4 linked regions of the Saccharomyces cerevisiae S288C genome follow. The gene in region 4 interacts genetically with the main gene of each other region. Each region holds a gene or a part of one and is shown on either strand. Other genes may lie near its edges. The genes, in order: PMR1, CHS5, SEC27 and VPS21.

Region 1 (9,102 bases), on a different chromosome or scaffold from region 4:
TCAAAAGCCAGGGACGTACAAACAAAATATTCAGCTAAATTTTCCATTTTGGAAAGATTTCTCCATAAGATAAAGACCGAATCCGATGATAAGATTGTTTTGATCTCCAACTATACCCAAACCTTGGACCTCATTGAAAAAATGTGTAGATATAAGCACTACAGTGCTGTACGGTTGGATGGTACAATGTCAATTAACAAAAGACAAAAATTGGTGGATAGGTTCAACGATCCTGAAGGCCAAGAGTTCATCTTCCTCTTAAGTTCTAAAGCAGGTGGGTGTGGTATCAATTTGATTGGTGCAAATCGATTAATTTTGATGGATCCGGATTGGAATCCTGCTGCTGATCAACAAGCTTTGGCACGTGTTTGGAGAGACGGTCAAAAAAAGGATTGTTTCATTTACAGATTCATATCGACTGGTACCATAGAGGAAAAAATCTTTCAAAGACAATCTATGAAAATGAGTTTGAGTTCATGCGTGGTCGATGCGAAAGAAGACGTTGAAAGGTTGTTTAGTTCTGACAATTTAAGACAGTTGTTTCAAAAAAATGAGAATACGATATGTGAAACACACGAAACATACCATTGTAAACGTTGTAATGCTCAGGGTAAACAATTAAAGAGAGCCCCTGCAATGTTATATGGTGATGCGACAACTTGGAATCATTTGAACCATGACGCATTGGAAAAAACAAATGATCATCTACTAAAAAACGAGCATCATTACAATGATATCAGTTTTGCATTTCAATATATTTCACATTGATCTCTTACATACATGTACTTATAAAACAAAAACAAAAAGTAGAATTCGATCGTCGGGGGGTCATTACATATTTATTTTAAATGATGGGCATGGTTATATATATTTAGACGTAATAAACAATTGAAAATTGGGGCCAAATTGGTAAATATCTCTATGTATTTCAATCAAAAAAGTATAATCGTATAACTTAAGGGTAAAAAAAGTTGAGCGATGTCATATTATACTTGTGCTAGCTTTTAAATTTTTCATTATCTTCAGTTTTATCGTGGTAAAGTGCCAGCCGAAACTGCCAAAAAAGATTATGGCAAGAAAATCTCACGCTGTCAGGGAAATAAAAATCTGATACAGTTTCACACTCTCAGAAGGATTAACTTTAACTATTACCTAACACCAATATCTGAAGAGAATGGATGAAATTCTTGCCAAAGCAGGTTCACAAGCCGTTACATTTGCTATAAAATCCGGAATATCGATAGCATCCACATATGCGCTAAAGACAATAACGAACTTTGTCGTCCAGATTCCTAAGGATGATGCTAGAAGAATAGATCAACTGAAATTTAAACTGGAAAGCCGCATGGCTATTGTATCCAGTGCAATTGACCTAATAAAGCTGGTAGCGGCGAGGGGAAACACGAATTTGCAAATCACTCTGAGGTTAACCAAGGATTTAAAAGAAGAGATTGATAGGTTTGATGAGAAGATCAACGAAATGACGCAGAAAGTTGAGGGTTCCAGGAGCGCAAAAACACAGAATGAAGCTATTAAAGCGGTAGAAAACTATATAAAGGACTTGCTATTGAGGATCGAAGAAATCACTCCATTCATTAATCTTTCTTTAACCACTTCTGGTGCCAACTTGAACAGCGCACTCCCATATCAACTTTCTCCTGGTTTATTATTAAAAGCCTCCGATTTCGTTAGCGAGAACAATAGAAAGTATGAAAAGGCAATGAAGAGTAATGAGAAAGGAACAGGTGACAAGGAGATTCTAAAAGTTCAAGTGGGGCCTACATTTGAGGTTACACTATTCTCTATTTTCTATAACCTAACTTCAGAAAACAATGGGCAATCAGGAATTGTTTGGAAAGAGGATATGAAACGTGCAAAAGCAAGGATATATAGATTGAACTCTACAGGCAGAAAGTATGATTATTTTATGAAAATAGAACAAGACTTCAATGACGGTAGATATCATGAGGATGATGACAAAGAAGACACACCACAGGAACTTGCCATAGATCTGAACCATATTAAGAAGCTGTTTTTCAGTGTTTCCGGTAAGCTTCTCCGATTAGAAGAACAGGATTCTCCAGTGTTGGTATTGAAGATTGACCGGAGCGATGACAAAGAAAATGAGAGCAGTGAAGGAGACAAGGGATTACTCGATGACATTACTTGGTATGCGGTAAGCGGATATGAAGCGATAGAGGAAGATGAAGAGGAAGATGAAGAGGAGGACGAAGAGGAAGGAAAAGACGGAGAAGAACGAAAGGAAGAAGAAGAAGAAGAAAATAAATTGGAGGACAAGGATTCGTCGATCACACTACTGGAGTACATCATTCGGCTGACGTCCTTACAAAGTAACGATCAGAAAAGTATATTGGAAGTGAGTGATGAAAGGTTATCTATATATTTGAACGATGAAAATACGAACTCCAGAAAGGATAGAATAAGCAATTCGACAATTGAAGAGACAGAAAAAAAGTTAAAAAACCTAAAACTTTAGGATGGTTACGTATCCTGTGCAGCCTTGGACAAATTTTATAATTGTATATATCTATGTATATGTATACGAATGGAAAAATTTATCCGAATCTCGGCCCGACTGCCAGCTTGCCGGGAGAACAAACAACCGCCAATATATGTATATGTATATTTATATAGATGTCCAGATGCATTATTGTGAATGTGAGTTATGCGAAGATACTTGTTTGTATAGCTCGTTCAACTCATTGATGGAGAATGGAATGTCAATATCGTTTAGTGCTGTGTTCGTAGTTGTATATGCGCTTCCTGTTTCATTGATACTAACAGGTTCCATAGATATACTAGGGCTTTGCTCAAGCGGATCGAGGGAAGCCAAATCAAGATTGTCAATGCTGTCGGCCTTAATTTCTCCGTTTTGCAGAGGTGGCTTCAAACTCGGCAATGTGGTTGTCATGTCTACATCCGACGAGCGACCATTTAGGCCCAAAAGAACGTCCAGATCTGCAATACCGAGACCATTGACATGCGCTGCTTCATCATTTGCCCTTCTGTGGCATGACCCTCCCTTTGATTTCCGGCTGCTTTTCCTCTTGGTATGACATTTACAAGGTTCACCCTCATCACAACGACATCGTGTTTCATCTTCCTTGCTGCCAACAGCTGGCCGTCGTGCAGAGGCACACATGCACCCACCGGATGGGTTGAAGTTCTTGGTTCTTCTCAGCTCTTTACAATGGCCACATGTGGTCGATGGTCTTCCCTTGCGTCTGATCATCTGTAGCGGACCATCAGTGTGAGTACACTGCGCCGCCCTGTGACCCCTGATACACGTTTCACAGGCATATTTGACCCCGTTAATTACGACCATTCTGTGAATACACTGATTATCAGTCCTCTTTTATCAAGCCGCCGTCTAATAAATTACATCGCCATGGCTACTGCTATTTCGTCCACAGCTTAATACTTACCGAACCAGGCCTTGCGGCTCTTACCCTGCGTGCCCGCGCACCCTGGCGACTTCGCCTCGTTTTGGCGATTTTCTTAGCAAATATTCTTTCACGATCGTAGTGGTGGAAGGTGGGTGAAAAGAGTTGCGTTCCTAGCAAGGATCGGTTGGTATCAATTGCACGTTCAGCTCATCCCTAGATAACCACTTAACAGCAAAGCCGATCGTTAAACTTTTGTATTCTACATTCTAGTTGCATTTTTTTTTTTTTTCATTTTGTTACATCAAGACAAGATTCTCTATTTAAAGAAGTACTTTTTTTGTTAACAGTGTGGACCCTACCTATCGTTATATCGAGATCTTGTTCCCTAGGCCATCGTACACTATAGCCCTTCCTTCAAGCACTTAATAGAAAAACCTCTTTTTCTACACCATCATAATAGTGTTTGCTCGCCCCGTTCTTTCCATTCCCATTTATAACAATACTAGTAACTATAATAATATCCTTACGACTGGGCAAGACAAGACGAAGCAAGGCCAGCACAGACGTAAGCTTAAGTGTAAGTAAAAGATAAGATAATTATGAGTGACAATCCATTTAATGCGAGTCTTCTTGACGAGGACTCAAACCGTGAGAGAGAAATACTAGATGCCACAGCAGAGGCCCTTTCGAAACCAAGCCCTTCTTTAGAGTATTGTACTTTATCCGTGGACGAAGCTCTAGAAAAACTGGACACTGACAAAAACGGTGGTTTACGATCATCTAACGAGGCCAACAATAGGAGATCACTTTATGGCCCCAATGAAATAACCGTAGAAGATGATGAAAGTCTTTTCAAGAAGTTCTTGTCAAATTTCATTGAGGATCGAATGATTCTACTTTTAATAGGATCCGCAGTGGTCTCTCTTTTTATGGGTAACATTGATGATGCTGTTAGTATCACACTGGCCATTTTCATAGTTGTCACTGTCGGTTTTGTCCAAGAATATAGGTCTGAAAAATCTCTAGAAGCGTTGAATAAATTGGTTCCTGCTGAATGTCACTTAATGAGATGTGGTCAAGAGAGTCATGTACTGGCTTCCACCTTGGTTCCTGGTGATTTAGTGCACTTCAGAATAGGTGACAGAATCCCCGCAGACATTAGAATTATTGAAGCAATCGATTTATCCATCGATGAAAGTAATTTAACTGGTGAAAATGAACCGGTACATAAAACCTCACAAACGATCGAAAAATCTTCCTTTAACGATCAGCCTAATTCAATTGTACCGATTTCTGAGAGATCTTGTATAGCTTATATGGGTACATTAGTCAAGGAAGGTCATGGTAAGGGTATCGTCGTAGGAACAGGTACAAACACATCCTTTGGTGCCGTTTTTGAAATGATGAATAATATTGAAAAACCGAAGACTCCATTGCAGTTAACAATGGACAAATTGGGAAAGGACTTGTCACTGGTTAGCTTCATAGTTATTGGTATGATTTGTTTAGTTGGTATCATACAAGGTAGATCTTGGTTAGAAATGTTCCAAATATCGGTATCCTTAGCGGTTGCTGCTATTCCAGAAGGGTTACCAATTATTGTCACTGTTACTTTGGCATTGGGTGTTCTGAGAATGGCCAAGCGTAAAGCCATCGTGAGAAGGTTACCAAGTGTCGAAACTTTAGGCTCTGTCAACGTTATCTGCTCCGACAAAACAGGTACACTAACCTCAAACCACATGACCGTATCTAAACTTTGGTGCTTGGACAGTATGTCCAATAAGCTAAACGTCCTCTCATTAGACAAAAATAAGAAGACTAAAAATTCTAATGGAAATTTGAAAAACTATTTGACTGAAGACGTTAGGGAAACTCTAACTATCGGTAATCTCTGTAATAATGCATCTTTCTCTCAAGAACATGCCATATTTCTGGGAAATCCTACTGATGTAGCTCTTTTAGAGCAATTGGCAAACTTTGAAATGCCTGATATCAGAAACACCGTTCAAAAAGTTCAGGAACTTCCATTTAACTCGAAAAGAAAATTAATGGCAACCAAGATTCTCAACCCTGTCGACAATAAGTGTACAGTTTATGTTAAAGGTGCATTTGAAAGAATTCTTGAGTACTCCACAAGTTATTTGAAATCAAAGGGTAAAAAAACTGAAAAGTTGACTGAAGCCCAAAAAGCTACGATAAATGAGTGCGCAAATTCTATGGCATCTGAAGGTTTGCGTGTCTTTGGATTTGCTAAACTAACTTTGTCTGATTCATCAACTCCTCTAACCGAAGACCTAATCAAAGATTTAACCTTTACTGGTTTAATCGGTATGAATGACCCACCAAGACCGAACGTTAAATTTGCCATCGAACAATTACTACAAGGTGGTGTCCATATTATTATGATCACTGGTGATTCTGAGAATACCGCAGTAAACATTGCAAAACAAATTGGTATTCCAGTTATTGATCCAAAGCTTTCCGTTTTATCCGGTGATAAATTAGATGAAATGTCAGATGATCAACTGGCCAATGTCATCGACCACGTTAATATTTTTGCTCGTGCTACGCCTGAGCATAAGTTAAACATTGTTCGTGCATTAAGAAAGAGGGGTGATGTGGTAGCAATGACTGGTGATGGTGTTAACGACGCTCCTGCGTTGAAACTTTCAGATATTGGTGTTTCTATGGGTAGAATTGGTACAGATGTAGCCAAAGAAGCCTCAGATATGGTCTTAACTGATGATGACTTCAGTACTATTTTAACTGCCATTGAAGAGGGTAAAGGTATCTTTAATAATATTCAGAATTTCCTGACTTTTCAATTGTCTACTTCTGTTGCCGCACTATCATTAGTTGCACTATCTACAGCGTTTAAACTACCCAATCCACTGAACGCAATGCAAATTCTTTGGATAAATATTTTAATGGATGGGCCACCAGCTCAATCCTTAGGTGTGGAACCTGTTGATCATGAAGTTATGAAAAAACCTCCAAGAAAACGTACCGATAAAATTTTGACCCATGATGTAATGAAACGTTTACTAACCACCGCGGCCTGTATCATCGTTGGGACAGTTTACATTTTTGTTAAAGAGATGGCCGAAGATGGTAAAGTAACTGCTAGAGATACTACTATGACATTTACTTGTTTTGTTTTTTTTGATATGTTTAATGCTTTGGCCTGCAGACATAACACAAAGTCAATCTTCGAAATCGGCTTTTTCACGAACAAAATGTTCAACTACGCCGTTGGACTGTCTCTGTTAGGTCAAATGTGCGCTATATATATACCATTTTTCCAAAGTATCTTTAAAACTGAGAAACTTGGTATCTCTGATATACTATTGTTATTGCTCATCAGCAGTAGCGTTTTCATCGTTGATGAATTGAGAAAATTGTGGACGAGGAAAAAGAATGAAGAAGACTCAACGTATTTCTCAAATGTTTGATATGTCACATTTTGTGCTTTTATCGTTTTTCCTTCCTTCCCTTTATCTTTCATGAGGACGCCCAACCCTATTGAGGTAAATGTACTAATTAATGGGAACATATGTAGATGTATATATGTACATATATTTACAACGGATACTAAGATAAACATGTATGGGCGACTTTTCGTATATACAAAGCAATATAAAATTTTATTCTTTCCTTCTTTTTCCGGACTAGATATAAAATCTCCGTAATCAGTGGTTATGATTTTCAAAAGTTAATCACAGTTTTATTTAAAACTGTATACAATTATTTGCAGCCGCCTTTCGCAATCTGTTCATAACAGCTAATCCTTCTCCTTCCTCATTTATACCTTCGACAAATATTAGGTCTACTTTATCATTTTCATCCACTTTTCTTAAAGCTGCAAACAAGTTAGTCTGTATTTCTTCACCAGATTGGCCAAGTCTTTCGATGATGAAAGTTTTCGAAGAAAAATCGGGTTCATTAAAGATCTTAGATTGTAAGTCGGAATCACGTAATTTTAGGGAAGTTAAAATCGCAATTTTTTTTATATTACTGTTGGCTTTTAATTCCGTTTCGATTAACCTCTTTAATCTTTCCATCCTATCAACGCCCTTAAGAATGCCATCGCCTTCGCAATGAGGAACTAGTAAAACAACTTTAGCTGAAGGGGAATAGTGTCTATACTTCATACCAGGCGTTCTTACCTTTTCGCCCTTTTCAACTGTTTTCTTATTCTCAACTTTACAAAGAGACCAAGCTTCACCACCCAATTTAACAATTTCTTCATATGTAAAACCGCCAGGTCGCAGTAGCGTAGGAGGATTACATAACCCATCAACAACAGTACTTTCTACACCAACCTTGCACGCTCCGCCATCAAGAATTATGGGAATTTTATCCTTTAGATCATGATAAACATGAGACGCTAAAGTAGGAGATGGCCTAGTAGACGCATTCGCTGAAGGAGCAGCTATTGGTGTATCGCTCAGGGCAATCAGTGCTCTAGCCACTGGATTAGCGGGTATGCGTACCGCAAACGTAGGCTGATCTGCGGTCGTTAACTTTGATAATGCACTATGCTCTGAAGATGGAACTGGCAAAAGAATTGTTAATGGGCCAGGCCAAAGGCTTGAAATTAATGGGCGATAGATTGAGGGTATGTTATCAAACAAGGATGTACCTGATAGATGCGGTTGATTAAAGACCTTTCTGTTAAGTTGATCAATGGATGAAACATGTGTAATCAAAGGATTGTCACTAGGCCTATTTTTGGCCCTGTATATACTAAGCACTGAATTATCATTTAAAGCAGAACCTCCAAGACCATAAACAGTTTCGGTTGGAAAAGCCACAGTCTCATCTGTATCTCTTATTATCCTCGCCGCTTCAACTAGCGCTGCTTCCGTTTCAGGATCTGTTATCGTTGGTAAGGAACCATCTATATGCGCATCAGGGGAGAAAATGATTGATAGCGGGTTAACTTTTAAGATCTTGGTATCAAACAGTGCTTTCGATGTCATTGCCAAAAAATGTCGTCCAAGGTACATACAATTCTAAAAATGGAATAATAAACAGGACTACCATTAAAAATGGAAACAGGTTTAGTGGTAAGTTAACAGCGCAGAAGAAAAAAAAAATTTGAGGAGAAGAATAAAGCTCTCGCTTCAAATATTATCAGCTTCAATAGGTATGTGCGATGAGGTTACTATCTTCTGGGTGAAAAAATAGTAAGGCTAGCGTAGATAATGATTTGAAATTTCTCAAAAAAATATTTTTGATACATATAATAATTTTGAAGCCTGAATTTTTCAACGAAATAGCCTTGTTGGCGCAATCGGTAGCGCGTATGACTCTTAATCATAAGGTTAGGGGTTCGAGCCCCCTACAGGGCTATCTTTTTTAGGCTCAAATCAAAAAAATGTCTAATATATTAAATTCTACTTCCTTTTTATATCTCAAAGAAGAAGGCATTTAACCCCATTCATATGGTTTACACTTGTGTTGAGATTTGTTGCTTGCGCTTCTTTTATCCTTTTAAACCGCTTATTTATCCTTTCCAACGATAAGGCTCAAATGACATCAATGTTCTCTTTTGTGTCACAAGAAATATAAATAACAACAATAAAACATTAGGTATTTAGTTGGAAGTCAAACTTGAAACTCTTCCCGGTTATGTTGTATTGGCAAGGAAAGAGCTGAATTGGTTGAGTGATGGGAGCTGGCACTCTTTTAA
Region 2 (8,287 bases), on a different chromosome or scaffold from region 4:
TAGCTACTGTTACTGGAGAAAAAATTGGTGTGAAAATAATGTTGCTGGCTGGTGGTGACCTAATAGAGTCAATGGGTGAACCAAACGTTTGGGCGGACGCCGATTTACATCACATTCTCGGTAATTACGGTTGTTTGATTGTCGAACGTACTGGTTCTGATGTAAGGTCTTTTTTGTTATCCCATGATATTATGTATGAACATAGAAGGAATATTCTTATCATCAAGCAACTCATCTATAATGATATTTCTTCCACGAAAGTTCGTCTATTTATCAGACGCGCCATGTCTGTACAATATTTGTTACCTAATTCGGTCATCAGGTATATCCAAGAACATAGACTATATGTGGACCAAACCGAACCTGTTAAGCAAGTTCTTGGAAACAAAGAATGATTTGCCGTCCGGAATTGCTTCGTTCTTTCTTTCATCTTTCTCTTTACAATTTCCAATTTTCCCCTACAGGAATTAATTGGAGGGTACAAGCGAGTAGAAATGTGACATATGACTTACCTATCTGTGTTTTAGTATAGTTTTTTTTTCTGTAGTATAATTCACTTTTACACTAATTTTTTCGCCTTTTTCTCTTAAAGAGCTAATTTCTATAACCTTCAGCGGTTATACCAAATATAAAAAATGGAAGGAAAACAAACAGTAAGAAATAAGCGCAACAGCACGTTAGTTCACCATTGGATTCCAACATTTCAAAATTTAATCTAATGGCAAGAGATATCACATTTTTGACCGTATTTTTAGAAAGTTGTGGCGCTGTAAATAATGATGAGGCAGGAAAATTGTTATCTGCTTGGACTTCAACCGTACGCATTGAGGGACCGGAATCAACCGACTCTAATTCATTATATATTCCACTGCTACCACCTGGAATGTTGAAAGTATGTTTCTCCTAGCAAAATTAAAACCCATCCGTGAATGAAGCGTTACTAACTATAATAACTGGTAGCTTTGTCACTCGTACCAGGAAAAGTGAAGATTAAACTGAATTTTAAAATGAACGATCGATTAGTTACGGAAGAGCAAGAGTTGTTTACAAAATTGCGCGAGATTGTAGGTTCAAGTATTCGCTTTTGGGAGGAACAACTGTTTTATCAAGTTCAAGATGTAAGCACCATAGAAAACCACGTCATTCTCAGTTTAAAATGTACAATTTTAACGGATGCTCAGATAAGTACGTTCATAAGCAAACCCAGAGAGCTTCATACGCATGCCAAAGGATATCCTGAAATCTATTACCTTTCCGAGTTATCAACAACTGTCAATTTTTTTTCTAAAGAGGGAAACTATGTCGAAATAAGCCAGGTTATTCCTCATTTTAATGAATATTTTTCCTCTTTAATAGTGTCTCAATTGGAATTTGAATACCCGATGGTCTTCTCCATGATTTCAAGGCTCCGATTGAAGTGGCAACAAAGTTCGCTCGCTCCGATATCCTACGCCCTAACGAGCAATTCAGTACTTCTTCCAATAATGCTTAACATGATTGCCCAAGACAAATCTTCAACAACCGCGTATCAAATTCTGTGTCGAAGAAGAGGTCCTCCAATTCAGAATTTTCAAATTTTTTCCTTACCGGCTGTAACGTACAATAAGTAGCATGCATAAAATATAATTTAATCAAATACTTTTGGGCAATTAAAATTTTAGTTAACAATAGTTATGCAATGCGCTTTATGTTCATATGATACCGTTTATAAGCTATTGCCATATCCTTATCTTATTGCTTCCAGTAGCCTCGAGTCGACCACTAAAAAGATGTCACTTAAGACGGAAATTATGTAGCTGCACTTCTTTTTTAACAAGTTCGGTCGGCCCTTCAAGTTCTCCTTTCTAAAGCCTCATTATTTATTGCGTAGATGCTAAATGTTATCGCGGTTTAGCTTGCATGTTACGTTTCCGTTTTAGAACCTGGTCGAGTAGCGAATAATGTCTTCAGTTGATGTACTGTTAACAGTAGGTAAGTTGGATGCCTCATTGGCGTTACTGACTACTCAGGATCATCATGTTATTGAGTTTCCTACAGTATTATTACCAGAAAATGTTAAAGCTGGATCTATCATAAAAATGCAAGTTTCACAAAATTTAGAGGAGGAAAAAAAACAAAGGAATCATTTTAAGAGTATACAAGCCAAAATTTTGGAGAAGTATGGTACCCATAAACCGGAGAGCCCAGTTTTGAAAATTGTTAACGTTACGCAAACGAGCTGTGTTCTAGCATGGGATCCATTGAAACTTGGCTCAGCAAAATTGAAATCACTGATCCTTTATAGGAAGGGAATACGTTCAATGGTAATTCCAAATCCATTCAAAGTGACTACCACGAAAATATCCGGTCTTTCCGTTGATACGCCATACGAATTTCAATTGAAACTGATAACCACGTCAGGAACATTATGGTCTGAAAAGGTTATATTGCGTACACATAAGATGACTGACATGTCTGGTATCACTGTATGTTTGGGTCCATTGGATCCATTGAAAGAAATTTCAGACTTACAGATATCCCAATGTTTGTCTCACATCGGGGCGAGACCTTTACAACGTCATGTTGCGATAGATACTACGCATTTTGTCTGTAACGATCTAGACAATGAAGAAAGCAATGAAGAGCTTATAAGGGCAAAACATAACAACATACCAATTGTCAGACCGGAATGGGTGAGAGCTTGTGAGGTTGAGAAAAGAATCGTTGGTGTTAGAGGATTTTACTTAGATGCAGATCAAAGTATACTGAAAAACTACACATTCCCACCAGTTAATGAGGAAGAACTTTCGTACTCAAAGGAGAATGAGCCGGTAGCCGAAGTAGCGGATGAAAATAAGATGCCCGAGGACACAACAGATGTCGAACAGGTTGCATCACCTAATGACAATGAGAGTAATCCTTCAGAAGCTAAGGAACAAGGAGAAAAGAGTGGACATGAAACTGCCCCAGTAAGTCCTGTAGAAGATCCATTGCATGCTTCGACGGCTTTGGAGAATGAAACCACCATCGAAACCGTCAACCCCTCCGTAAGAAGTTTGAAAAGCGAACCTGTTGGTACTCCCAATATAGAGGAAAACAAAGCGGACTCTTCCGCAGAAGCCGTGGTAGAAGAACCGAATGAAGCTGTGGCTGAAAGTTCTCCAAATGAAGAAGCAACGGGACAGAAAAGTGAGGATACCGATACACATTCTAACGAACAAGCTGATAATGGATTTGTACAGACTGAAGAAGTAGCTGAAAACAACATAACCACAGAAAGTGCAGGGGAAAATAACGAACCTGCAGATGATGCAGCAATGGAATTTGGACGTCCAGAAGCTGAAATTGAAACTCCAGAAGTAAATGAGTCTATAGAAGATGCCAATGAACCTGCGGAGGATTCCAATGAACCTGTGGAGGATTCCAACAAACCTGTGAAGGATTCCAACAAACCTGTGGAGGATTCCAACAAACCTGTGGAGGATTCCAACAAACCTGTGGAGGATTCCAACAAACCTGTGGAGGATGCCAATGAACCTGTGGAAGATACCAGTGAACCTGTGGAGGATGCCGGTGAACCCGTACAAGAAACCAACGAGTTTACTACCGACATTGCCTCTCCAAGACATCAAGAAGAAGATATAGAACTTGAAGCCGAACCTAAAGATGCTACCGAAAGTGTTGCAGTCGAGCCATCCAATGAAGATGTAAAACCAGAAGAAAAAGGTTCAGAGGCAGAAGACGATATCAACAACGTTTCCAAGGAGGCTGCCTCTGGTGAGAGTACTACCCACCAAAAAACTGAGGCCTCTGCTTCTCTTGAAAGCAGTGCCGTCACGGAAGAACAAGAGACAACGGAAGCCGAAGTAAATACAGATGACGTTTTGTCCACTAAAGAAGCTAAAAAAAATACTGGCAACAGCAACAGTAATAAGAAGAAGAATAAGAAGAATAAGAAGAAAGGGAAAAAGAAATGATTAATGGATGCCTTCAATGAGTTCCACGACGCACGTTTATTTTTTCGACTGAGAATCCCTCAGCAAATATAATCTATTTTTTATATATCTGTGTATATGTAAGCATGTATAACTAGTTACAAATATGATAACTGCTTTGGCGATCACTTCATTTTCTTGAGAGGGGTACTCAGTAGCCGCCAAGCACGAAATGTCCGTTATTAAAAATTGGGGAGTGAATCTTAAAAGCCCGAAAAGGAAATTCAAAATCTGTCTATTTATAGGCCGTCGCGCTCTACGAAAACGCGAAATTATTCAAACGGAAAACGGAAAAAAATCTAAAAAAAGAAATTAATTGAGAGATCTCACGGAAATGCCGCGAGGAATGTTTCTCGAGGCTGAGCGGCGTGGTCTGTGCAAAAAAATGGCAATTTTTTTGTAGGAGTTTGCATTGGGCCATTCAGAAGGAGCACCGTTAGATGGGATGGTAAATGAATTTGCTGTTTCAGATTTGAATCAATCTTTACCCGTTATTTTTGCCGTTTTGCTTTCATAATCTGCAAATTAACAAAGTCATAAAGAACATAAAGACATCACCCCAGTTTTTACACTCTTTTTTCCTGTGTTTGGTTTAGCACAACTTTCCAATAACCAAGTTGGTTTCAGATCATCCCCATATTATTTTCTAGTTTCATTTACTTACCAAACTCACCATTCAAGGCTTTCAAATTAAGTTACGAGTACAGTGGACCATTTTTTTCTGATTCTTCATATTTTCCGTTATAAGTCTTATAAGGAAGGTATACATTTATATTGCGAATTTGAAAAATAATTTAAAGCTGACTTTGCGTTTTAGGTAGGCTAGAAAAGAATACAACTATCCCTAAACACATTCTAGATTCACGAAGACGCCTCTGCCTCAAAGACATACTATATTTTTACTCTCGTTGAACAAATAGTACCATTATTTCGCTACTTTCGTTGAAGATTGGACATATAAAATACGCAAATCATAGTATGTTGTCTTTCACAACCAAGAATAGTTTCCGCTTATTACTTTTAATACTGTCATGCATATCGACGATACGCGCACAATTTTTCGTGCAATCATCATCTTCGAATTCTTCAGCAGTATCTACTGCACGTTCTTCCGTAAGTAGAGTTAGTTCTTCAAGTTCCATTTTGTCATCCAGTATGGTTTCTTCCTCAAGTGCTGACTCATCTTCCCTTACTTCATCGACATCAAGTAGGTCCCTCGTGTCACATACGAGTTCGTCTACCAGCATTGCCTCCATATCGTTCACATCATTCAGTTTCTCATCAGATTCAAGCACCAGCAGCTCTTCCTCTGCTTCTTCAGATTCTTCATCCTCCTCATCCTTTTCCATCTCTTCGACATCCGCAACTTCTGAATCATCGACGTCTTCTACGCAAACGTCAACATCATCTTCATCCTCACTGTCGTCAACGCCGTCCTCTTCATCATCCCCATCAACAATCACTTCTGCACCTTCAACCTCCTCCACACCATCCACTACTGCCTATAATCAAGGAAGCACTATCACCAGTATTATTAACGGTAAGACGATTCTCTCAAATCATTATACTACCGTTACGTACACACCATCAGCAACCGCTGATTCAAGCAATAAATCCAAAAGTTCGGGTCTTTCTAAAAAAAATAGAAACATCGTCATTGGTTGTGTGGTTGGTATTGGTGTACCACTGATTCTGGTGATACTGGCTTTAATTTACATGTTTTGTATCCAATCATCAAGGACGGACTTTATTGACTCAGATGGTAAGGTCGTTACGGCATATAGAGCTAACAAATTTACGAAATGGTGGTATATGCTTTTGGGTAAGAAAGTTAGTGATGAATACCACTCCGATTCACCATTAGGTGGTAGTGCATCGTCCGCAGGTGGTTTAGACCTAGATGAAGCAGATGATGTGATGGAGCAAAGCTCCCTTTTCGACGTCAGAATAAGAGATAGCGATAGCGTATTACCAAACGCCAACACCGCCGACCATAATAATACCAATAGCGGTGGAGAGCCTATAAATAGTAGCGTTGCGTCAAATGACATAATAGAAGAAAAATTCTATGATGAACAAGGTAACGAATTATCACCACGAAATTATTAATCATATCCATTCATATCATTTAGTGCTTATGGCTACTTTTCATTCCTCAATTATTGTAAATTGACCATCTTAATTATATTTCTGATATTGAGTAGGTGGACTTCATTAGTATTTTTACAAATATTATCACCTTCTTATGTAGGATTAGCATTACATACCCTCTAATTAAAAAAAGTTAACATTAATTACATTTTAAAAAAAATTGTAATAGTATGATAGTAGGACCTGACAGCCATTTGAATAAGGTTTCGAGTGCTTTAACGTTCCACTGATTTTATGTAGTTCATATGGGGGTTAGTCTGGTTTGAGGAGGAGAATTTCAGGGAAGCAGTGGCCGTTGAATCTCCCTGTAGGGCGCTGATTATTTTTATCCTAATAATCCAAAAATGACAATGTCAATAAAGAAAACTTACCGAGTTCTGTGAATTTCTCCCTAAAAAATTACTAATTATACCTGGGCGAGTTTTGAACTCTTTGGCAAATAAACTTGGGGTAAACCTTTCGATTATAAAGACGTTACTGCTCAAAAATGTGTAGAAGCATAAGGAGATATTCTCTCGTATGTTTAATTGGAGTTGGCTTTTTTGGACTCTGAAGTTTGAGTATGGGAGGGGAAGTAATCGAGATTAGATTCCCTGATGTTCACATATGGGGATAAAGAATGCTTTTTGGGATATGATTGTTTCTTTCCGTCGTTACGGTTGTAGGTGCAACGAATTGCGTAAGGGTGGCTAGCCGAGATTTAATGACGACGCAAAAGGGAATAACTGTGACAGGAAGATGAATTCACAAAGTTTATAAAAAGAAAGGGCGATGCACTGCTACATGGTTGAACAAGGCACTACATAATTCACAGCTTGTAGCTTGTAAATAAAAAGAGCATTCACGCGATATACGATTTTCAATGATCACTCTAAGAGGAACGGCGAAAAATAGAATTCAATATGAACTGGAATGGCAATTATGATCAGTTAAATATACAATATTGTTGTTGCAATTGTATTACATTTAAATAAGAGCATGTATGTGATAAATTACTGGGAATTTATGGTATAGGTTCCAAAACGCCACCGCCCAAAACATTGTTATTAATGAAATAAGAATCAACGATCTTCTCAATCATTTTTATTTAATGGGTATTGAAATGAAAGGATTGATAATGTAATAGGAAGATGATTGACCCAGAAATTATCTCAAAATTCGCCTATTTCTCAGTTATATTAACCTGCTTATTTTAACTTTAAAAAAAATTGGAAAGTTTGCATTCTACGTTTTAGCTTTTCCGTATAAAAATTAGATAATTTGACGTTCAGTATAAAAAACGTATCGTAATAGGTTTGCTTATTGGAACGTTAAGGAAAAAAATAATAAAGAATTCATTTTTTTCCTTTTTAACCCACCTCTTTCAATCCACCTATACAACTCATTATTAGTAGAGTATTATTCTACCGTTTTATACAGATCATATCGTGTCTTTTGCTATGCTAGGTTGAAACAAGGTAAGATACGTTAAACGACAACGGCTATGTTGCAGGCGAATCGCTAGCGATTATTTAAAAGATCGTAAACTATAACTGAGAAAATAAAGAGACGTAATCCAAAGTACTAGCAACACTCAACATATATAATTGTCAATACTTTAGGAAGCTACTATTTAAGATCAGGTACGTAGAAGCAGACGAACAGATTCGAGTTTCGATCTCCTTTCTGTATTGTATTGGTTAGGTTACATCTCGGTGGAAGGCTGTCGTATCTCAGAATGAGATACGTCAGTATGACAATACATCATCCTAAAAGTTCATAAAACACACATGAAACAACCTTATAAGAAAACGAACAGAGTGAGTAACATGAGATAAAACTCCGCCTTCCTTGGCTGACCCACCCAAACATATAAATGCCTGAACAATTAATTTGGATCCGAGGTTCCGCGCTTCCACCATTTAGTATGAATCATATTTATGTAGTATATAGGATAAGTAACATTTCGTAAATCAAGCTGATAATCCATTTTGACAACTGGTCACTTCCTCAAGACTGCTTATATTAGGATTGTCAAACCACCTTACTATGAATTGCGTTTTGACACAGGAAACGCTAATGTAATATAATCCGTGATAGTTTAATGGTCAGAATGGGCGCTTGTCGCGTGCCAGATCGGGGTTCAATTCCCCGTCGCGGAGATTTTTCATTTTTTTTTTTTT
Region 3 (8,971 bases), on a different chromosome or scaffold from region 4:
AGAAGTGCTGCGAAGATGTACTTACATATCTTAATCCAAATACAACACTCTTCCCATTGATTGCGTCTTTCTTCCTCGGACTTTCCAATCTGAGGCCAAAAGATGTCTATGGCATTATTGTGTGCGAAAAAAAAGTTTCAGGAAAAAAAAACTTTAAATATTTGAGGTTGCACCCGTGCATATTGAAAGATGTATGGGTTCAAAAATGTCCGTATTCAACTTTTGCCAAAAGCTGATAGCTGTTTGGCCTTATGAGGTAAGGTTTATGAACGCAGTCTTCTTCATTGCGATCTAAAAGTTGATATGTTAATGGAGATAATGGTAGAGTAAACTGAATTTTTTACAGTCCCCTTTCTTGAAATTAAGCAAGTTATTTAGCTAACTTACATACCATCTTCATGTATCGTTTTTGATTTTTCAGTTCTTTTTTAAAAAAGAAGATCAAGTAATTTGTTCTAATCAAAGAAGAAGGTTCAATACCGTTTCTCTGGTATTTGTAAGATCTCTTTTACTGGCGTTCTTTTAAAAATGATCAGGTCCGGTTAAAGGGCGTCTCCGTCAATGAGAGAAAAATGTCAGCCTCTGATATAGATGGAAGTCGTAGCCATCAAGATGGGCTTATCCGAGGTTTGAAGTAATGACTACACATACTGACGGGAAAATTACAGCATGATTTTAGTGTACAATCGTATCAGGAGTATAATATCGTCTTCTTTAGGTCGAATACATGTACGGTATAATTCTAACTCACAAAACAGATGGCTGAATAGACAACTGAAGGATCCCTACACAAAAGAGGCCAAGGTCCAAAATCTGAGGTCTAGAGCCGCATTCAAGCTTATGCAGATTGATGATAAATATCGGCTTTTTAGCAAAAACAGGACCGATCAGAGAATTCTAGATCTTGGGTATGCCCCTGGGGCTTGGTCCCAAGTAGCACGGCAAAGAAGTTCACCTAATTCAATGATACTGGGCGTTGACATTCTCCCTTGTGAACCTCCGCATGGTGTGAACTCTATTCAAGCTAATATATTGGCCAAAAGAACTCATGATCTTATACGGCTCTTTTTTTCTAAGCATTTCCAATTGAACAGACACGATGATTTGCATAAGGACCATGGCTATTTCCAGAACATGCTCGAGGAGGAGCTAACCCATGTGAAAGATACTGAATTGTACCGTGAAATTTTCACCTCTGATGACATTTATGAAACTCCGAATACGAATAGTACCCTAATAGAACGAGAAAAATTCCCAGTTGATGTGATTATAAGTGATATGTATGAACCCTGGCCCCAAACAACCGGTTTTTGGAACAACATTACTAATCAAGCTTATTTTAGGATGGCTAATACATCTGGTGTCAGTATAAGAGACCATTACCAATCTATTGATTTATGTGACGCAGCCTTAGTTACGGCTATAGATTTATTACGGCCATTAGGTTCGTTTGTTTGTAAACTATACACCGGCGAAGAAGAAAACCTATTTAAAAAAAGAATGCAGGCAGTTTTCACTAACGTTCATAAGTTCAAGCCTGACGCTTCTAGAGACGAATCAAAGGAGACCTATTATATCGGATTAAAGAAGAAAAGAAATGTAGATAAACTGGACGTGTTTAGTAATTCATAATATGATTTGTTTGCGCGCAAAGTTTCAAGTCACGTTCATTTTCACACCTATCGCAATAAAAATAAAAAGTGTACATCTGTATATATATATGTTTACCATCCATTAAAGATGTTTTCTCATTCGTTGATTAGTTCTTTATTTGTCTTTCTATGAGGTGGTTAACTCTCTTCTTCCACAGGCTCCGGCACTGCCTCTCCTTGCTCCGGCTGTTGTTCTGATTGTTGTTGCTGGGGAGCTTCCTCTTCTTTTTTTTCGGCTTCAACTGCCTCTGAGTTGGATTCTTTAAACTCGCTGTCCTCAACTTCAGCTTCTTTGTTTTCGTCAGCTTGTTCTGGGGCTGGAGTGGAATCTAAGTCAATGAGTGGTTGGGCATCTCCTGAACTCGAAGAGCCTGGTAAACCTTCGGCCCCACAAACTCTTTCTGATACAGTATTCTTACCGTTGAGTATCAAATTTTCCTTCCATTTTGTAACAATATCGTTGACTGCATCATCTCCTAAACCGTATGTTGATCCAAGGAAAGCGGCTTCGGAAAACCTTTGAGACTTGATTAAAAGATCTTTAGCGCCTTGTATATCGCCAGCGATCCAATATGCATTAAAAGCCAAATTGAATTTACCGGCCCTTTCAGCATCTTTAGCTAAAGTGACCAACCCCTCCTTGTTATTAAAAGATGAGTGCAATAGAAATAAAGATTCTAGATCATGTGCATTTGTGAAAGCTTCAACAGCAAGTTTAAAATTGAACCTTTGTAAGGAAGCATCACCCAAGGCTCTCCATTTCATTTCGGCGCTTTCATCTGTCAACAAATCGCGAGCAAGCGTAAGTTGGCCGACTTTTAAGGCTAGCTCAAATTTTTGATCTTGATCAGGGGAAATATTCAGTGCTTCTTCATAATACTCTTGACCTTCCAGAAATCTAGCAATTTTTGTTAAAGAGTCCTTACCCTCAACATTTGGGAGTACATTTTCAATGGCTTCTTCAATTTCCCCTCTTAAAGTCAATGTTTGGAACTCCAGCACCTCTAGAGATATTTCGTAACCATAAACATGGACCTCTCTGTCAGCTAAATATACTTTATTATCACGTGCTAGATAGCCCAATAGATACATTTCCTTTGTGTAATGGGCTAAATTATAAGTCTTTCCACCTACGAAGTAGTTCAGCCTGTTAGTTGCTGTGGTAAAGATAAAGACATCACCAACCCATTTGCCTGATGTAATGGATTCACTTAGTTCATACAATACGTCAAAAGCCTCATCAACACCTTCTGAATCGTCGATATTGCCATTATTTGCTGCTTCAAGGTAAGCATCCTTGTTGAATAATAATGTGTAACCACTTGCTTCATCACCATTACTATTGGTGTTGACAATCATCACCAGCTCACCGTTATCGGACCAAATGACATCCTTAGCATTAACATCAATTCTTCTAACTAGCGTACCGTTGTCCCAATCGAAGAAATAGACGAAGCCATCAGACTTCACACCCAACAAGGCACCTGAAAATAATCTATCAATAGCAGAATGCATTGGGACAGACCATGATGTGACTTCTTTAAAGTTTTTGTAGTATTTAATTTGCCCAGTTTCATCAATTAAAGCATAACTATTGGAGTCGGGGCCCCAAACAAAGTCTTGACATTTACCGAAGGCTTTGTTTCTCCAAGCCAACGCCGTATAAATAACGTATTCACCATCCCCAACAACTGTAACAAACCTACCATTTGGAGAATGGGCTAAAGATTGAGGGAAAACATCAACGGAACCCAGCTCCTTAGTTTGTAAAGATAATGGTTCATCTTGTTCAACTTCTTCGTTACCTCTTATGACGGCAGTGAAAATGTCTGAAGCTGCGGCATTTTTGCCACCTGACCATACTAGCTTACCGACAGGGTCAAGTGATAAAGTTGGTTCATCATTTCCCAAGGAAAGTACGGTAAACCCATTATCAAACCCGGATGCAATGTAGTTTTTACGTCCTGTTGGATGGGTAGCGATACACCAACTTCTTTCTAAACCAACGTTTAAAGTCTTTTCTACCTTGTAAGTGGAAGAATTCCATATCTTTAAAGTGCCATCTTCGGAACCAGAAATTATAATGGGTAAAGTTGGATGGAAAACAGCAAAAGAAACATTGGACATGTGACCTTCTAGAGTGGCTACACATGACTTCGTTTGGTAATCCCAAATTTTGATGGTTAAGTCGTCCGACGCAGTAATCATATAAGGCTTGTCAGGTAGCGGGTAATAATCAACATAATTCACACCTCTTTCTTGTCCTGTGGTTAACGTGAAATTTGGTGTCGATTGTCCCAATGACCAAACTTTAACGGTTCGGTCCAAACACCCAGATGCAAACGTACTAGGATCCTTTGGATTGAATGCGACGCACATGACAAAGTGTTCGTGACCTTCAAAAGTTTGTTCTAAGGCCCAGTTATTTTCCCAATTCCATAGTTTGACTGTCAAATCATCACTGCCGGATAAAACATAAGGCTTTGTTGGATGTACAGCAATGGAACGGATATAGTCTGGATGAGCTTCGAAATCAACAACTTTTTCACCTGTATTGTAGTTGAAGACTCTGATCCTGAAATCATCACTCCCAACAATTATCCAATTCTTTCTTGCAATGAATTTACCTGCTCTAACAGGAGTTTCCGTAACTTGGATGGATCTAACTTCAACTTGTGTTTCGTAATTCCAAAGCTCAACACGACCAGAGTACAAGGTAGTCAAAACCCATGGCTCAGTAGGATGGAAATCGATACCTTTAACTCGATCGGATCTATTACTAAAAGTTTTCTATCATAAATGTACAGTGTCAAATAAAGGAAATGCCAAGAGCAAATGCATTTATTTCAAAAATCTTCCTGTTAGTAACTAATCTTAATGTTTGCTTTTTGCAGGCTTTGTATTCTTCGCGAACGAGATCATTTCCTAATCATAGGAGTTGTCGGAGCTTGTTCGCAATTGCATTGGCAAAACGCGCTCTGGTAACATACCTTTATATCCAACTTCATCGTGTCCGTATAATTGTTTCGATTGGGTGTCTTAATTCACCATTACAAGCTACCATTTATTGCAGCTTTCTGTTATTTACTCCCAAATCTTACACGACATGTTCCTAATGCCAGCTCGATTCATTCATGAAAAAAAGACAGTTTATTACCCGCTCATTCGTCAGACGCGATTAAAATTTGACGCCGCGTCACAAAATAATCAATTTGATAATAATATATTTGATATTATTGTCCATATTCAATAATTAGTAATGTGGATCTAATGATTTTTATACAGCTCAATACAAAGCAACAAAACTAAAAATAGATTATAATATCCAAAGTGCTCCTCGGATGAATGTACAACTTTTTAGAATTTTTCTTCTTTTTTATAACGTACACCTTATTTAAGAGCACTTTCGTTCAAGGAAAAAGTTCATTTCCTGGACATGATGTGTGTAAGTTCGAAGACCAAAATTTCCAGACAGAGTTCTTCTTAAATGTTCTTAAAGGTGACAAGTTACAGAACTTGAAGCAGGAGTACGAACAATACAAAAAACAAAGTACTTTGTACACAGGCTTTGTAATTGAAAAACAATATGAATACCAGGTAGCGCCCTTGCAAATCAATAATTTTCTTCAAGTGACCTTTTGTAAAGGAGGAAAGCCAATTTGGAATCATATTCTACCCTTTCAAAAGGATTTAGATTGGGCAGAACCACTATGCATTCCAGCCCAGGAGGATGATACTATCTCCCAAAACAGCTCAGTATGTTTCAAGTTTGCAAGGGTGCAGAAATATACACAGCGTAATGTAACCCTTTACTTTCCTAATAAATTTGTTGGATTCGTATTTGTTTGCAATTCTTCAAAGACGCATCCCCCCACTCAGAACAATTTTGAAACTATTCCATTAACGCCTATTATTTCTGATGATATTAGAGATTACAAAATATCTTGGTCAATTAAAGGAAGAATCACCAAGGTGGTACCTTATCTACATTCGTTAAGTATTCCTATGTCCAAATATGAGATGCTCATCCATTCAGATAAGAACATATCAAACGAATTGGAATATAAATCCTTAACTTCGGAGTTTTGGAAGAGCTATAAAAACTTAAGAAAGTTTAAAAACAAAGAAATGTCTTGGATAAACGAAATAAATCCTATGGAGCAATATGATAGCTCTGGGAATGAAAATGTCCCGAATTTTCATGAAAAACTAGACCGTACAATAAATCGGATTGCGCAAAACATAGAAAGGCCTCATGATGCACTAATAAGAGCGATAGCCGCACATAATAGAAACTCTAATAGTGGAAATATTACAAGAAGGAAATATTTGAGGAGGAAGATCTCAAAGATGTTAAAAAATAAGATACCTCTTAAGAACTGAACAACTTACACATTCCTATTCATGAAAAAACATAATTTTATAATAAATTGTTTGTTTGATTCGATTAGTTTATTTAACTTGATTAATTTAAGTATTTATTTTTTTTTAATTTGTTGTTACACGAGGAGTATTAAAAATATGACAAACTGGGATATTACAACATAGAAACAAAGATAACAAAAGCTATCTATTTTAAAAAAATTCATATTAAGCAAACTGGTACAAAGTGTTTTAACGTTATTAATGAAAAAGAAAACTTGGGAAACTTCTGACAAAAACAGAATTTAGAAGGTTAGAAGGAGAATGAGAAAAACCTGTAAAATTAAAAATTTTTATGATAGGAGCAGAACTTTTGTATATCGTAAAGACTCACATAAATCCTTCATCGAAGAATCCAGGGGGTTTCCTCAGTGGTTGTTTATTGTTTCCCAAACTATTTATGCTGTCATCTCGAACATAGTTTTGCGACCTAAATCCTCCGTCCGAACTTGAGGTATCTAAAAGGTCTCCTTCAGTGGAGTCGTGAAATGGATCGGTATTTGAACTTGTATCTTCCTCTTCAAAGGAATTGATCAGTCCATTATGCGCATCAGACTGTGATCTTGTGTGTCCTGGATAAGGTTTAGAGCCTAATGTTGATAGGTTTTCTCGTGAAAGATTCGTTAAGTTGTGAGGAAACGTTTGTTGTTTTGGAGCTTCAACTCTCAGAGCATCTGTGCTTGCGTTTTCATTCTTAGGCCTAGAGAATTTACTTAATATTTTCTCTGAAAACGTAGGCTTGTTATCATCACTTGATGTTACGGTTGTGGGAGTGGTTTCATCCTGTGCTTGCTTTAGCTCATCATTCACACCAGTATCATTTGATTCGTAATCTGAATTGTCGTCATGGTCTTTTGCCACATTGCCCAACGCAAGCAACTCGTTCGCTACTGATCTATTAACAGTACCTTCTGGTTTCATAGTGTTCCTTTGGAAAGAAGTTCTATCGTCCTTAGCAGGTTTAAATCTTAGATCGGGGTTCTTTGAGAAAAGCATCATACCAGCGAATGCCAATATCATCATTAGTAAAATGAACGAAAATGCAGCGTTCATAATGAAAAATATCCATCCCATAATAGCAGCCACTTTGTAGCTTTGGTTAAACAAGTCCGAAAAAAACATGAATAGAAAGGAATTAACTACAGTAACAGTAGCAATTAAAATATTCATTATGTTTGTTGGACGGTCCAGATAGGGCTTATAGTAGATAATAGCAACGAAGTAAAACAAATCCAATATGAACATGAAAAGAACTTGTGTTTGACCAGAAGCCTGAGCAAATCCAACCAATAATGATTTTACAAAAATGTAGGATAAAAGAACAATGTTCCACCAGTAATGATTGGCATTGAACATTGTATAGAAAAATCCGTATTTGTGTAAGACATATTCATCTCCATACAATAAGGCTGCTGGGTTGTTGTACAATGCAACAGATCTTCTTGCGAAAAAAACAGTCCTCCATGCAGCCCAAAGCATTAACCCACATGACAAAAGAATAAAAAGGCATGCGATGACGATAACAGCAGGTGAATCTCTTTCAGTAAATTCCCAAAAACTGAGAATTGTTAACTGAACGAAACCGATGTAAATATATCTTAAAAGAGCACCTTTTAAGATCATTCTCCATTGTTTCCTGAATTCCCAAAACCTTGCCTTTTGGATCCATCCTAACCGGGTGGCTAACTCCACACAGCATTTGAATACTATGATAAATCCAGCCAACACATATCCACATAAGACGAAGAAAGTAAAACCGGTACAAACGATGGACGTATTTTCGATTCCCATTTTATAGCCTAGCCTTTTGATTCCTCTAAAAATTAATGTATTTGCATTACCATACAAAACATTGGTAGCTCTTTTGATTAATGGGAGCTCCATCAAATATTGCCAACTTCTTTGAGCCAAAACAGACATAGATGTTGAAGTCAGATATAAGCTAGGCGTACCACCAGTGGATTGCACATACCACCGGAAAATCCTTTGCATGAATGAGATTCTAATTAACCCCATTGACCAAACCAAGTTTTCCGCCCAGGCGGCTGCAATAGGCGGAACTCGATGAACATGTTGCATGGCAACCACGACAACAGATTGGAAGTATAAGAAAAGTGACATTGTGTTGGCAGAAATATGTGAGGCTGCGGTAGAGTTCCCAAAAGTGGATAAGATGGCAGATAGTAAAAGACCAATTCCCGCTACCACTGCAGTTGCCCATTTTACACCAATCTGAGAAACTGTTTTACCGTTTGAGAAGTATATTTGGATACATGCTAGGTACTCGCTCACATTGTTGGTGATCTTGACCCTGGCATATGCGTCGATATCGGGGACTTGGTATGCAATACCAGGAATTTCATTTACGTACTCACTGGAGATGTATTCAATAGAGTCGATCTGAATATTACCTGGGTGAACCGGGCAAAACTGTTTCCAGTTGATTGAACAAAGATCGACATTTTTAGTAATGATCTTGAAACCATATGCGTAGACATCAATATCAGCAAAAATATATGAATCAATTTGAGTTGACATATCAAGATCATAATGTAATGACCTGTCGTCTGGATTGAAAACAACGTCAAAACTATTTGCTGACAGCTGCGAGTTTTCCATACATGTGACCAATGATGTGGCTACCAGCTTCCTTTTTGCCTCTGCAAGATTTACTTTACTGGCTAACAATATTATTAGTCCAATTAATGCCGATGATTTATAAACCTGAAGAAATCTCATGCCTGTGAGGGGTATACTTTTCTAGTCTCCACTATTTGTTGTTGTTGTTGTTGTTGTTGTTGTTGTTGTTGTTGAAATTTTTTTATTTATGGCCCGCTCGTAAATAAAAAGACCTTTCTTAGCTATACTTTGCAAAGAAGTTTTCTAGTACCCACCAA
Region 4 (6,496 bases):
TATATTAAAAACAATGAAAGGCCTATTATATAACAAAAATTACAAGCATATAATAACGGTGCAAGAGTAACAGATGGTAGCGTACGAAGGAGGGATGCGTCAAACATATATTCAGGCCCTCTAAGTATATAGCCTCATCCCCCGAGGCTGCAAAGAGATGCAGTGAAAGGAAGCTCAACTATCACCGATTGTGAAATAGAGAGCAAAACTCGAGCACTTTTAATCCCAGATATTGTCGGGCGGATCCGAGGTGAAAAAACACCTCAACAACGTGGGGGCGTGGGGCGTGGGATATCGAAAGGGGCAAAAAGACGGCAGATAAGCATGGGCCGCGGTCGTGCTGCGTGATCAGCTACATGACGTGACATGCTTTGTGTTGGTGTGTGTGCGTGTATTATATATACGGTGGCATATATACAGTTTAGTCTATATGAATTTTAGACTATGCGAGCGTGGCGGAGTTGGCTTTTTTGATGTCGAAGGTGGGGTTGCTACCGTCACCGTAGTCCTTGATGCCGCCGTCGTCTTGGTGGTCAGCCTTCTTCAAGGCATCTGTGAATTCAGTAAGATCCCATGCGGATCCCTGGGTGACGTCGTCTGGCATGTCGGCGTTGTCCGTCTCAAATGACTTGTTTTCGGCGCTCATCTTAAGAATGATTTCTCTACCAGTAGGTTTCCTCTTACTAGATAACTTCTTTTCAGCGTTAATCTTTGCGATGACGTGGTCCTTCTTCCATTGGGCGAAGTTGGCAATTGTTATTGGTGTTAGCTTGGATTTGTCTAGTTTCCCTCTTTCTGTTTCGATAAACTCCTCCAGCGTAATTTTTGGCTGTTTCTCGAGCGACTCCCTCTCGAGCCTCTTTTGCTCGTTGGTTTTCAGCACAAAGCCCTCTGGTAGGGAGTGTCTGTACATACATTTGTCACCTCCGTTAGGACAAATCCAAAACCAACCGTATTTACCGTTTTCCACGGCCTCGATGAAGTATTTGCATACTTTGTCGGTGGTGGTCTTTGGGTTACCGTGCTTCGACAGGATAACTTTTCTCAGCTTTTCTTCATCCCAGTTGTCCATTGTGTCATTTTCCTTTTCACTTCTTGTATCTTGGTATAAATCTTTCTTTTCCATTCTTCTACCGACGTTCAAGTCATGTGAGAACTTACATTTGGCACCTTTGTTACAATTCCCCAGTTTGAACAGAGCACAAACCATGGACTTGGGATCTACACCCGCACGAACCCTTTGGTCTGCTACAGGGTTGAATAGTGCTCTTCGTTCAGCTTCTTCGGCTTCTCTGCGCTTTTTTTCTTCGAGTTTCTTTAACCTCATCTCTTCTTTCTTGGGGTCGGATTGTGATTGCACTTGTTTGATGTATTTTTGGACTTTGGTAGAACGGTTCTTGTTCTTCATACCGAACGTCTTGTCGACATTATCCTTCTTCTTACCAGCCGCTTGGGCCTGTTTTCCCTTTTTTGGTGGCATCTTCGAAATATAACTTTCCTGCGATTTTATATGTGTAAAGCCCAGAGGTTTACTAATAGAGTGGCTTCCCTTGCTTTCTAGAAATAGTAAAACACATTGATTAAAAAAAGATATATTGTCGATTTTCACTAACTCATCGCTGGGGAACAAAAATTTTTTCATTATCATCACAGTTCATCATGTTCGACGAGCTACGTGCCAATTCATTTCCTCCACTAGTCTCCAACTTAAGAAATACTCTCAGAGGTTGCAATCTTGTGCTGTTCAGGGTGTGATGGGCAGCATTGACTAAATTTCCTTATCCCTTGCATAGTTACATTCTTAGTTATCAGGTATTGGCGACCAATTGCATACATTTTTATTTTCTACTTTAAAACTCAGTAATGAGCAGTTACCGGCCCTTCATTATGTAGAAAAACAGGATTCACTTCTTTCTACACAAGATACAAAAAAGAAAAAAAGGATCGATTGGAGGGTAAACGAAATCGTGTGATAGGCAGGAAAAGAAACATCTATTGCTACTTTAATTGAATTTGTGCTCTACTGAAATTTTTCAACAGAAGAAGTGCTTTTACTTCTCTCAATCTCTCCATGTCTCCCTTAACTAGAACCGTAGCTATAAAGAAAACGGTTAAGGTTCTATCTAAATGTCAATCTGGTAGAGAATACACACAGAAGTTTCTCCAACGTGCATATTCAACATCACATGCCAACAGCACATACTATTCAAGGACAAAGCTATTCATATCATCACATTCTAAAGCTCTAAACATTGCTCTACTAAGCGGGTCCCTACTGTTGACCTACTCCTACTATTCCCCTAAAAAGATCCTCTCCCTTGATACAATTAACGGAATAAAAGATTATTCTACAAATACTAGTGGTAACATTAACATGCCGTCACCTAATCCAAAAGGAACAGAGACACAAAAGAGTCAACGGTCTCAGAATGACCAATCTGTTCTTATCTTGAACGATTCTAAAATAGAGGCTAAACTACATGATAGAGAGGAAAGCCATTTTGTTAACCGTGGCACTGGTATATTCAGGTATGATGTGGCACAGTTGCCCTCTAACCATCCAATAGAAGACGATCACGTAGAACAAATCATTACCATTCCGATAGAAAGTGAGGATGGCAAGTCCATAGAGAAGGATTTGTATTTTTTTGGAATTTTTGATGGACATGGTGGTCCTTTCACTTCGGAAAAATTATCTAAAGATCTAGTCCGTTATGTAGCGTATCAATTAGGTCAGGTATATGACCAGAACAAAACGGTTTTCCATTCCGACCCCAACCAATTAATCGATTCTGCAATTTCGAAAGGTTTTTTGAAACTAGATAATGATCTTGTAATCGAATCGTTCAGGAAGCTGTTTCAAGATCCAAACAACACAAATATTGCAAACACTTTACCAGCGATTTCTGGTTCTTGTGCACTATTAAGTTTATACAACTCCACTAACTCAATTTTGAAAGTGGCTGTCACTGGAGACTCAAGGGCTTTAATTTGTGGTTTGGACAACGAGGGCAATTGGACGGTAAAGTCGCTATCCACCGACCAGACCGGTGATAATTTGGATGAAGTACGGAGAATTAGGAAAGAACATCCAGGAGAACCAAACGTTATAAGAAACGGAAGAATATTGGGTTCATTACAACCATCCAGGGCATTTGGAGACTATCGCTACAAGATCAAAGAAGTCGATGGAAAACCATTATCGGATTTGCCTGAAGTTGCCAAACTTTATTTTAGAAGAGAGCCAAGGGATTTCAAGACACCCCCATATGTCACTGCGGAACCAGTGATTACTTCTGCCAAAATTGGTGAGAACACTAAATTTATGGTGATGGGTTCGGATGGTTTATTCGAATTACTAACTAATGAAGAAATTGCTTCCTTGGTTATCAGGTGGATGGATAAAAATATGAATCTGGCACCTGTGAAGGCAGAACCGGGGAAATTACCAAAAGTTATCGATGTATCTGAAGACAAGGAAGCACAAAGACCGGCATTCAGGTACAAGGATAATAATTCGAGCTCACCATCAGGATCAAACCCAGAGTATCTTATTGAAGACAAAAACGTCGCCACTCATTTAATTAGAAATGCATTAAGTGCGGGCGGAAGAAAAGAATATGTATCGGCATTGGTAAGTATACCATCGCCGATGAGTAGAAGATACAGAGATGACTTGACAGTAACAGTGGCGTTCTTTGGTGATTCTGGAACACCCTCAATTGTCTCCAATGCTACTTCAATAGTTATGAACCCGGAGGCAACAACAAAGCCAAAACCTAGATTATGACGATATAAACTTATGCTGAGGTAGGTATATACCAGAGGATTTATTTTATAGATATTAGTCTGCTGATTATCTAGTTTCTTGTCACCTCATACGTGTTTTTTTTTTTTTTGGTTTTCTCGGTTTGCATTATGGGGCTTTTTGCTAAAACAATATCCCCGAAAAGACAAAGAAAGAGAAGTGAGGTGAAAATACGAGCAGCTTATCTTATAAAAGTGGCAACGATTTTAAAAATAAAAAGCAAGATCGTCGACTTATCTAAGCTATAAAAAAATATCCCTTTTATCACACAAAAAAATGAACACATCAGTCACTTCCATAAAGTTGGTACTGTTGGGTGAGGCAGCAGTTGGTAAATCGTCAATAGTCCTAAGGTTTGTATCTAATGATTTTGCCGAAAATAAGGAGCCCACCATTGGTGCAGCATTCCTCACTCAAAGAGTTACTATAAATGAACATACTGTTAAGTTTGAAATATGGGACACTGCTGGGCAAGAGAGATTTGCATCTTTAGCACCTATGTACTATAGAAACGCACAAGCTGCTCTTGTAGTATACGACGTTACAAAACCACAATCCTTTATTAAAGCGCGCCACTGGGTTAAGGAATTACATGAACAGGCATCAAAGGATATCATCATTGCGTTAGTTGGTAACAAGATCGATATGCTGCAAGAAGGTGGGGAAAGAAAAGTCGCAAGGGAAGAAGGTGAAAAGCTAGCGGAAGAAAAGGGCTTGTTGTTCTTTGAAACAAGTGCAAAGACAGGAGAGAATGTTAACGATGTATTTTTGGGAATCGGTGAAAAGATACCACTGAAGACGGCTGAAGAGCAAAATAGTGCAAGTAACGAACGTGAGTCGAACAATCAAAGAGTGGATTTGAACGCTGCTAATGATGGGACCAGCGCAAACAGTGCTTGCAGTTGTTAGAGAGGGGAAAATAAATATATATAAAAAAAAAGTCTGGGCAAATTGAGATAAATAGATCTTCAAAACGGGAAAGATGAAAGTCATAATTTATCGTACCTAGAAAGGAGAGGGAGTTTTCATTTTTTACCGTAATCGTTGTTTTTCTTTTCTTCTTATAATTTGTAAATTTTTTAACTGCATTAGATCATTATATTATCTTTCAAAACGCCAGTCGTTTTTATTAGACCTTTATATACGTTTCAAAGTGGTTTGTACACGTTAGTTTAGTTAAACTTTTGTTTTCATGTAGACCAAAATATAAACTTATTTTATGCCGAAAATCGGGAGATGGATTAGTTAATATTGTAAATAATGATAAATTAAAGGAACATTAAATTTACAAAGTTGCAATGAGGAGCAATATATATATATATATATGGATTTCTGAGAAATTAATTAAGCAGTATTTGAACACATGTCGTTTACTCTTTCTTATCCTTTATGTCTAATTTTTCGAGTAGATCGGTAATTACAGCTGTCAAGTTTTCCACTTTCTTAGTGAGCTCTTTGACTTCATCTTTATCTTCACCAGCATCATCTTCAGTGTCATCGTTATCATACTGTTCGAAGGAGGGACTGCATTTTTTAACGTTTTTATACCACTTCTTAGGGACTTTAAAATGGACATCTTCCTGCTCTGCTGTTCTTTGCAGTTTTAGCGAACGGGAATTCTTTAACTGGGTGGCTCTCATGCCAGAATTTCGGTTATCAGAAAACAAACCGTCATCATCATCCAAGTAGCCATCTGTCAAATCCCATGGAGTATCATATTCATTGGCATCATCGTTTAACCTTTTCATCCTGTTATATTTTATCCTTCTAGCCTCCCGAGTTTCTTTAACAGAAATAAGCAACAAAAATGGGCTGTACACTATTGTCATTACAGTATAGCTCAAATCTTTAGCACGCTTCGGTGGAAGAATACGAAAGATAGGTGTCATGAACACTTCAATTAAGTTCAATGGAGAAACATAGACATCTTCATCAGGTGCTCTAATGTATCTCAACGTCTTTTGTGACATCAAAGCCATGTACTCGTCATCTGCATTGTCAATAACTTTTTGGTACGCAGTCGAATACAAAGCAATTAATATATTCAAAAGGATAACCGAAACAATAAAATAGTAACCATAATACAGTATTGCCGCATATGGGGGAGCGAATTCTTCGAAAACATCAAAACTACCAAGACCCAAAACGGTGATTGTTAAATTACCCAGGATGGGTCCGGTGATATCTCTCTTACCATCTGCGGAATCCAAACCTAAGAAACCTTGAGTGAATCCTATCATTATTAAGAATAGAAGGAAGAAAAATACAATGGATTCTTTCATCATATGTTTTAGGATAACCAACATAATCCCAATAAACCTTTGTGATTCAAGGTATAGTAGGAGTCTCGACCACACAAATGGTGCTGCACAGGATAAGACTCTATATGATATTTTATCCCAATCTTCTGAAGAGTATTTTGCATTAAGGGGCGTTACGCTCATTGCACGGAACCCCATAGCAAACGTGATTATCAAATATGTGGTATCATTAAATAAATTCCAAAACGATAGGTGCGCATAACCAATATAATAAAGCTTAGTGAGCTCATCCAAGATGAAACCAGTATTGAAAACATAAAATATGCTTTCTAACAAATCGAAAGATTGGACTCTCTCAGAGTCCTTACCATTAACCACCAAGGTATAAAGCCCTAGAAACAAAAATGAGAAGATCATCTGCAAATAA

What was found.
Region 1: mutations in VPS21 (region 4) and PMR1 together harm fitness more than expected from each alone (negative genetic interaction), as found in Saccharomyces cerevisiae (4 studies listed by BioGRID).
Region 2: mutations in VPS21 (region 4) and CHS5 together harm fitness more than expected from each alone (negative genetic interaction), as found in Saccharomyces cerevisiae (3 studies listed by BioGRID, with this or other methods).
Region 3: mutations in VPS21 (region 4) and SEC27 together harm fitness more than expected from each alone (negative genetic interaction), as found in Saccharomyces cerevisiae (3 studies listed by BioGRID).

What each region holds. Positions count from the first base shown.
Region 1 is NC_001139.9:185,373-194,474, reverse strand, and holds PMR1 (Ca(2+)/Mn(2+)-transporting P-type ATPase PMR1), read left to right. Parts: upstream 1-4,006; coding exon 4,007-6,859; downstream 6,860-9,102. Other genes in the region: DNA-dependent ATPase RAD54, read left to right, coding at 1-768; YRB30 (Yrb30p), read left to right, coding at 1,175-2,497; CUP2 (Cup2p), read right to left, coding at 2,669-3,346; HUR1 (Hur1p), read right to left, coding at 6,679-7,011; SUA5 (threonylcarbamoyladenylate synthase), read right to left, coding at 7,136-8,416; SPO74 (Spo74p), read left to right, coding at 9,081-9,102. UniProt on the Saccharomyces cerevisiae protein: This magnesium-dependent enzyme catalyzes the hydrolysis of ATP coupled with the transport of calcium. Has a role in the secretory pathway.
Region 2 is NC_001144.5:785,724-794,010, forward strand, and holds CHS5 (Chs5p), read left to right. Parts: upstream 1-1,940; coding exon 1,941-3,956; downstream 3,957-8,287. Other genes in the region: nicotinamide-nucleotide adenylyltransferase NMA1, read left to right, coding at 1-395; REC102 (Rec102p), read left to right, coding at 719-892, 990-1,610; JIP3 (Jip3p), read right to left, coding at 4,946-5,323; MID2 (Mid2p), read left to right, coding at 4,953-6,083. UniProt on the Saccharomyces cerevisiae protein: Component of the CHS5/6 complex which mediates export of specific cargo proteins, including chitin synthase CHS3. Also involved in targeting FUS1 to sites of polarized growth.
Region 3 is NC_001139.9:245,558-254,528, reverse strand, and holds SEC27 (coatomer subunit beta'), read right to left. Parts: upstream 4,661-8,971; coding exon 4,643-4,660; intron 4,443-4,642; coding exon 1,791-4,442; downstream 1-1,790. Other genes in the region: MRM2 (21S rRNA (uridine2791-2'-O) methyltransferase), read left to right, coding at 670-1,632; YGL138C (uncharacterized protein), read left to right, coding at 4,998-6,035; FLC3 (putative flavin adenine dinucleotide transporter), read right to left, coding at 6,405-8,813. UniProt on the Saccharomyces cerevisiae protein: The coatomer is a cytosolic protein complex that binds to dilysine motifs and reversibly associates with Golgi non-clathrin-coated vesicles, which further mediate biosynthetic protein transport from the ER, via the Golgi up to the trans Golgi network.
Region 4 is NC_001147.6:488,417-494,912, reverse strand, and holds VPS21 (Rab family GTPase VPS21), read left to right. Parts: upstream 1-4,084; coding exon 4,085-4,717; downstream 4,718-6,496. Other genes in the region: translation machinery-associated protein TMA46, read right to left, coding at 443-1,480; type 2C protein phosphatase PTC5, read left to right, coding at 2,072-3,790; YVC1 (Yvc1p), read right to left, coding at 5,179-6,496.